2 linked regions of the Oryzias latipes genome follow. The protein of the gene in region 1 interacts with the protein of each later gene in a biochemical or structural test. Links are inferred from orthologs where the notes say so. Each region holds a gene or a part of one and is shown in the gene's direction. Other genes may lie near its edges. The genes, in order: E3 ubiquitin-protein ligase Itchy and endophilin-A1.

Region 1 (3,817 bases):
AGCACCTTGATGTTCTTCTAGCTTAACAGGAGCATTTCTTTTTCCCCCAGCTGGGAGCGCCGTGTCGACCAGATGGGGCGGGTCTATTTTGTTGACCACATCTCACGGACGACCACGTGGCAGCGTCCCACAATGGAGACGGTGCGAAATTACGAGCAGTGGCAGCACCAGCGCAGCCAGCTGCAGGGCGCCATGCAGCAGTTCAACCAAAGGTTCATCTACGGGGTAAGACGCCGTGTGTCAGCGGGTCAAAGGAAAGCCACTGACTGTGGTGTGCGTACACGTTATTTTTTATAAACAGTATGCAGGATATTTTGTCTTAAAAGGAGAATAACATATTTTGTGTAGACAATGGGATGGTGCATAAACCTTTTTTCTTATATGAACTCGACAAGTGGAAAAAAAAGTCTTTGTCCAATGCCAAAAACTAAATTCTGTCTGGACATTTGACACGCGATAAACCCCGGTTCTTGAACACGTTCTCATGGTGTTCACACTGGACAAGCAGGGAGGGGCTACTTCTTTTTCTACTGTTTACTGCAATCTACATTTGGAATTTACCCTTTATTTTACCAGGAAGTCTCATTGAGATCAATTCTCTTTTTCGAGGGAAACCTGGAAGAGCCTTGGTGCGAAATGTTAAAGCGGGGAAAATCTGGCAAATCTTACTCTTTAGGCTTTTTCTTACACTCTTTCCAGTATACACACTATTACCAACAGCATTGGCTCACCCATCCAGATGATCACAATCAGGTCCTGAGACTTGACCTGGCCACAGGTGTATGAAATTAATCAGGCATGCAGGCTGTTTTTACAAACGTTTTTGAAAGAATGGGCCGCTCTCAGGAGCTCAGTGAATTCCAGCGTGGAACTGTCATAGGACGCCACCTGTGCAACAAATCTGATACTGATGTTTCTTGGCTCCTAAATATTCCAGTCAACTGTCAGCTCTAACAGAACAACATGGAAGAGTTTGGGAACAACAGCAACTCAGCCACCAAGTGGTCGACCTCGTAAACTGATGGAGAGGGGTCAGCGGATGCTGAAGCGCGTAGTGCAAAGAGGTCGCTGACCTTCTGCACAGCCAATTTGTACAGAGCTTCAAAATTCATGTGACCTTCAGATTAGTCCAAGTACAGTATGCAGAGAGCTTCATGGAATGGGTTTCCACGGCCGAGCGGCTGCAACCGAGCCACATAATTTGGTGGAGGAGGAATCATGGTGTGGGGGTTGTTGTTCAGGACTTGTGCTTGTCCCGTTAGTTCCAGTGAAAGGACCTCTGAATGCTTCAGGATACCAAAACATTTTGGACAGCTCCATGCTCCCAAGCTTAAGGGAACAGTTTGAAGCGGCCCCTTCCTCTTCCAACATGACTGTGCTCCAGTGCACAAAGCAAGGTCCATGAAGACATGGATGACAGAGTCTACTGTGGATGAACTGGACTGGCCTGCACAGAGTCCTGACCTGAACCCGACAGAACACCTCTGTCAGTCAGAGTCAACTATTATTGTAATATTGGGCTACATAAAAAAAATAAGTTGAATTCAATTGATGGCTGCAAAAGGTGGATCCACATCATATTGAACTCTATGGGTTAAGAATGGGATGGTTTCAGTTCATATTTGAGTCAAGGCAGGTAGGTGAGCCAATGCTTTTGGTTACATAGTGTATGAAAGACCCTGTTTTATTTATTTCCAGCCGGGCACAAACCGTAATTACGATCTCCTTCATGATCAGTTTTCAAACGGTTGGCACTTTCGTGAATTACAAGGGGTGCCATCCATTCATCACTACCGTACGACAGAATCACCTGTATGTCATAAGTGCGTGCAATGTCCATTAGCCTAACAAGTGCTTCACAATTCACAATGGTACGTTCCATTTTCATGACGTTCCTTGAGGTGGCCGTACGAGCCTTAAGGGAACCGCTTCCCTTAAGACTGCTCCTCTCTAGGACCCTCCATGGACCGGACAATCCAAAAACCTGCAGCAGCCATACGGGTCAATCCCCCATACGTGTGGCTAAAAGCTTTAATCATTTAGTGTTGCAATTTATTTTTGACTCAAAGTCGATCAAGACCAAATTGTTCTGGTTCTCTTTGGGTTCTAATCCGTGATGTTTGTTATGGAACTTGATTATTGATAATAATTCTCTGTGCAGGTACAAGATCCGGCAGCAGCCGCTCAAAATAAGGAGTTTGATCCTCTTGGACCTCTACCAGCTGGATGGGGTGAGACTTTTTCGAGTTTCAAAACCAGGACAATTATATGGAGCAGTTTTTATGTTACTCTTTGCTACAAGTTTGGTTCCTCTTGAATTTGTTTAGTGTAAACTAGTTTCGGTTTGTTTTATAGCAGCATCCTAATTGAACCTTAATAAACCATATACTCTGTATTTAAATGTTTTTTTGGGATTTTTCCTTTACATTAAAGTCAAATGAATGCAGTTTGATGTAGTTTAAATATCCTGCCAGCTAATGAAATTGCATCTACAGTGGATTTCCTGCAGTTTTGAAAAAATGAAAATCGAAATACTATTGATTTGACTCTTAGCAAGCAAAAACGCAATGTGGGTTTTTTTTTTTTAAACCGCTAATGACTTTAAACCTCATCCTGCAAACCCATCAACCTGTCAACCATAGTTAAGTCACTGACTGGCTTTCCTTTCAGAGAAGAGAACAGACGCCAATGGCAGAGTCTATTTTTTGCATCATCCTACCCGTTCTACTCAGTGGGAAGACCCTCGAACACAGGGGTAGGCATGTGCTCACAGATTCCCCCGCCGCCTCCTGAAAAGGACGAAAGTTGATGTTCTGATGTCACTTCTCAGGTTGTTGAATGAAAAGCCTCTTCCTGAAGGATGGGAGATGAGGTTCACTGTTGATGGCATTCCTTACTTTGTGGACCACAACAGGAGAAGCACCACCTACATCGACCCTCGCACTGGAAAATCCTCCCTGTACGTCTGACCGCTTTTAAAGACGTAGATGTTCTTTTAAAGCACAGTTAAGCTCAGTCTTTGGTACCAACGTACACAGAAATTCCAAACCTACAAATGCATGTTTGTTTGGGGAACATTGTACGCAAATCATCTTGACGCATTCCCCGTTTAATCTGAGAGTTCGGCAAATCACGGGCAGAGTAAAAGAAAAATGAACTCATCCTAAAACTGGATTAAAATGTCATTTCTTAACCGTAGCTCCTCCTCCTCTCTCATTTTTGATGTACCATCAGTAGCAGCGTTTTCAGATCATCAATCTGCAGGCAATGTCACAATCCTGAGTAGTAATCTTATTGAAATGCATTTGCACAAAACATGAAGAAGAGGATTTTTTTTTTTTAACCTAAAGAGGTTTGGGTTTCCAGCTAATGTGGCGTTCACTCAAATGGACGTGTTTTATCTGCGGGCGTGGTTCACCAGACCGCAGAAGTCATGCACCAGTTTCCTGCAGTGAAAAAGAAAACCTGTTTGTTTCTGATATGCGATCATCTGAACCACGAGGCCGCGGCTTTTCCAGCTGATAAAACCTAGACGCGTTCGCCTCTTTGCAGACGTGATCGCGTCTTAAAAACCTGAAATCCGTTCCTGCATGAATGACTTCCAGATTATAGCTGAAATTCAAGATTACTCGATTTTTCATAAAATTCTTACATCTTTTATGATATCCACGTTTTTAATAATAATAATAATACATTTTATTTAAAAGCGCCTTTCAAAACACCCAAGGTCACCGTACAAAGTTAGAGGTAAAAAACAATAAAATCACAACATGTTAAAAACAATAAATAAATTGGATTCATCAGTTGACAGAAGATG
Region 2 (4,434 bases), on another chromosome or scaffold:
ACAACAAACATGTAAACGGGCTCCAACGTGCACCGTGACCACGAGCTTCAGGTTAAATCATTGAGGGCTTCAATAGCTACTAGTGGGAATGTTACTATATAAATTACACAAAAATTCAAATTTGAATCAGACATTGAACATTAATCAGTACAATTTTATTAAAACAACAAATTGTAATATTTTTGTACTATTATTATTATTATATATAATGGGGTTAATGTAGCTTTGGGGGGGGGGGGGTAATAATCTATTTTATGACAAAGAAATATCAAAAATGATATCAGACAGACTAAAGCACATAGTTTGGTTGAAATTCTTGCTTACTGAACCGGTAAATTAGCACATTTTTAAAAATCAAAACATATGCAAATATATGGAGGATGTAGAAATACTGATATTAGGCTTTACAAAAAATAAAAAATAAAAAAAAAGAAATCAATGGGGAATGTCCATGTGAAAAAGTAATTGAATGTCCGAGCTGCCCTTAAACGCGCCATCGGACCCTCCAATGAGCTGTCCGTGGTGCTGAAACCGCGTCGGTGTCTGTTCAGTTACAGTGTGTTCAGTTACAGTTCAGACGCCTGCAGAAACGCTCGATCACGTGACCCCACCTGTGATCTTATTATTATTCTGTAGAATTAACTCTTTCACATAGGAGGGTCGCGCGTGCGAGGACGGCTCGTGGACGGTGGAGGGCGGCGCGTTCCTGTCACAGCAGACCTGCGCTCTCGCCCTTCTGAAGATCGTCTATCTGTGAAGACAGACGTCTGACTGACGAGAAATTTGTCTTTTCCTGCATAGTTATCAAAAATCTCTGTAGATGTTAGTTATATAATGTGGATTAAACCAAACTGTGACATTTTTGGTAAAATTGTTTTACATTTTTTTTTTTATCCACAGAAACTCTTGAAGAGTTCTAATCAAAAGAAATAAAAACATTTTTTGTTCACAAAACAGAATATTATTCAAATTCAAAAAAGCTAAAATAAACTTTGTTAAACGTTTTTAATTAATTTATTGGTCTTAATTTCAAAACAACAAAAAAATCTTTTTTTAACAATCTTTAAAAGCTGTTGGAAGTCTTTCCCAGTAAACTATTTTTTTTTTACCATTTTTTAAATTTATTTATGTAATTTTGTTGTAGTTGTTGTTGTTTTTCAAATGTTCTTATTCCTAAACAGATGTTTGATTGGTGTGTACCTTTTTACATTTTTCGGATATAACAAAAAATTGCACCACACGTTTGCAGTGGATCACACGCCACCTTCGTAGCTGTATTTATTTATAATGAGAATATCAGTTTTGATGTCCTTTCTTTTGCTGTTATTTATGAACATTGTTTTTCCTGCCCCATGGTGGGATAAATAAAGTCATTTAATCTAATCTAATCTAAACATTTGCCAATGGGACATTGTTAAACGGATTTCTTTCCTTTTTTTGTTTTATTTCTTTATAATTTATGTCAAGTTCAGACATTACACTACCTAAAACAAGTCTTTGAAATAAATAAAAAATGAACAAGCATAATCCTATTTATTCATTGGAAAACTCAAAATTTTATTGCATATTTAAAAAATAAACAGCTGGACAAACGGGACGTGGATCATTTCGGTTTATTCGTTGGAGTGATCCATCTCGCTCATCAACGATCTCCGCCCTCCGCCTCGCTCGTGCGCCTGAAAATAGATCCAGCAGCTGGGTTTGGTCCGGCCGTCCTCCGCTCCGCTCCCACCGGGTCCCACCGAGCGCTAACGGACACTTATCGACGCGCATCACCGGAGGATTTACGGACGAGTTCCGCCGGGTCGAACCGGTCCACTTCCAGACTCCGTTCTCCGTGAAATTTTTCCGCCGTCAGTTCTTTCTTTTTTCTTCCTCCGCAGCCGAAAGATGTCTGTCGCGGGGCTGAAAAAGCAGTTCCACAAAGCCACCCAGGTGAGCGCTTTAGCCCGTTCTGACCCGGTTCAGCCTTTGTTTCCATGTTTAAAATCTAAAAACAAACATTTCTGTTGTTCTGAACCTTTAAATGAATCTAAACGGAAGTTTAAAACACAACATTTCTGTTTCAAATCATGTTTTATTCCCACAAATCTCGCATTTTATGCTGAAAACAGATTTAATCCACGCAGGTGGATCCTCCTGTCACGTTTGGGTCCAAACTGATCCGGTCCGGTTCACAGTTTCGGTTCTTTACAGGATGTTCTCGTGATGTTTGGAGTGGGGAACCGGGCAGCAGAACCGGGCAAACCCCGGCGCTGAGGCTCGGTTATAATATTATGTAAGAATCCGTAAAGTCCGGAGCTGATTGGCTGCTGCTGAACGCAACAGGGAATTCCCTCCATCCTCCTCCATCTTCTCCCCCCATGCATGCCTTCATCCTGGCTCCTCATCCAAACTTCACTACACCCCCTCTTCCTCACCTCCACCTCAGTTTTCTAACTTCTCCTCTTTCATCTGTTCTTCCTCCCATCATCCTCTCATTCATCCTACAGCTTTCTGTTCTTGTCATTCCTCCAACATCTCTCCATCTGCATCCCTCCTTCACGTCCTCCTCCATCTTTCCGTTTGTCCATTCATTCTTTGTATCATCTTGTTTTTTTCATTGACTCTCTCCTCCACCGTCCTCCCTCTCCAGTCCTTCCCTCCATCTGTCCATCCGTTCGGCCCGGAGCCCCCCCTCTCTGCTCTGCAGGCTGGATGGATGGGTGGAGGTTTACTCTAGCGGATGAGGAAGAAGAGAGGTTGATGAAGATGAGGTTGGGAGCTGCCTGTTGATGAAGGTGAAGATTCCTCCGCTGTGTCACATGACTCTGTTGCCAGAGATCAAAGTGGAGGCGTGTCCTAGTGAGTGGACACTTCAAAGGGCGGTTAGCCCCCCCAGAGTACCTAAAGCTGCAGTTCATCTAATGACCACTAGGGTTGGTTTCCAATGGGAGCCGTTCCCACTGACTCCCATGTTAAAAGTCCAACTTCACAGAAAAACTGAACAGGTAGAACAGGGTGTTCATGTTGGGACCTTTTCGTTTGTGGGGGTTTTTATGAAAGCTCAAACATCTCGTGGGGGTGGGGGGGGGTTGTTTGTACTGACTGGCAGGAGGGTGGAGTTAACTAAACTCCTGCTGTCCTTTGTCCCGCCCCATCACCCAGTGCTGTAACGTTGGGAGGAGAAAGTTCCGGTTAATTTGTTCGTCCCAATTCAGGCTTGATTCTTGCCGTTCGGGACAATCCGTGAGACGTCAGCAATGATCCGTCCACTTGGTTTCTATGGTAACAGTCCCACAGTTTGTGTCGGATGTAGGGACCAGTTTGGGCAAATCTTGAAACGGCAGTGTTGATGGAGATCTTAACGCTGACGTTGGAATCCAGTTTGAGTTCAAGAAGTTCATGAATTCCAGAGGGAAACAAGCTTCACCTCCATTCTCCAACCGCTCCAACAGTGATGCAACATTGGAGATGATCCAGATTGGTGAAGACGCCGTTTATTTCAGGCTGTCCTGCACTTCTGGGACTTTCACAACTTCTCTGGTTTCATTAAAAAGCAGAAAAGCACATCAGAGAAAGATGAGGGTTAGAAACGAATCCGTCTCCCTCAAGCCTGCCGTCTGTCCCGCTGTCATCTGGACAAACTGCTGTTCATTTGTCACCTGGAAATAGAGGATAGTTATTGATCCCTGAGGGGGAAGTGGGTCACGACGGCAGGAAATGAGAGAAATAAAGAGCAGAGACGTCCTGAAAGCTCAGACAGAACCTGAGGGAGACACGGACTGGAATCCGTCCGTCCGTCTAAATGTTTGTTTCACTGAGTTCTACCAGAAAACATTAAAGGTTCTGCTGTGGCATGATGGGAAATATCAAGATCCTACACCGCTCGGTGAACCATAGAGAGAACGTGTTCATGCATGTGTTTTTCTACGGCAGACAGGTCGTAGTGAACACGTGGGATTCAGTATTCTGTCTGACGGTTTACTATCTATCAATACATGATGGAAGGACCTTCAGTTCTCTAGACGTGTAGACGGGACATGTTTGTCATGTTTCAGGCGTATCCCTGCTGGTTGTTTAGCAGTTTCCAGTTTTGTTTCCGTTGAGTCTGAACGAGTTTTGTTATCAACATCACAGACACATTGGTTCTCGGTGTGGTACGGTACTTTGCAGTTCTGTAGTACCTAGCGGTTCTGTAGCACACTAGAGTCCCCAACGGTGTCAAACTACAGCTTTTAGCGGTCATGTTGGGTGGCTTCAGCCATACCCAGTTGCATCATGGGTATTGGTGAGTATGGCCTTAGATTGATCAACAACAGTTGGGCACAAAACCTTGTTGGTGAACATTAGGAGCAGCTGAATACGACTCGGGTCGGTTCAATAAAGTTCTTTAACTGCATCAGAAGAAGCAGAACTGATGTGATGTGGATCGGACGGGTTTTCTGGGTCTGA

Evidence for each region.
Region 2: the proteins of E3 ubiquitin-protein ligase Itchy (region 1) and endophilin-A1 form a complex in vitro, tested with the Homo sapiens proteins (2 studies listed by BioGRID, with this or other methods). The link is inferred for Oryzias latipes from reciprocal best matches to the Homo sapiens genes ITCH and SH3GL2.

What each region holds. Positions count from the first base shown.
Region 1 is NC_019865.2:2,020,014-2,023,830, reverse strand, and holds part of E3 ubiquitin-protein ligase Itchy, read left to right. Parts: intron 1-50; coding exon 51-225; intron 226-2,161; coding exon 2,162-2,231; intron 2,232-2,670; coding exon 2,671-2,755; intron 2,756-2,830; coding exon 2,831-2,959; intron 2,960-3,817. UniProt on the Homo sapiens protein: Acts as an Acts as an E3 ubiquitin-protein ligase which accepts ubiquitin from an E2 ubiquitin-conjugating enzyme in the form of a thioester and then directly transfers the ubiquitin to targeted substrates.
Region 2 is NC_019876.2:2,702,142-2,706,575, forward strand, and holds the start of endophilin-A1, read left to right. Parts: upstream 1-1,612; 5' UTR 1,613-1,890; coding exon 1,891-1,935; intron 1,936-4,434. UniProt on the Homo sapiens protein: Implicated in synaptic vesicle endocytosis. May recruit other proteins to membranes with high curvature. Required for BDNF-dependent dendrite outgrowth.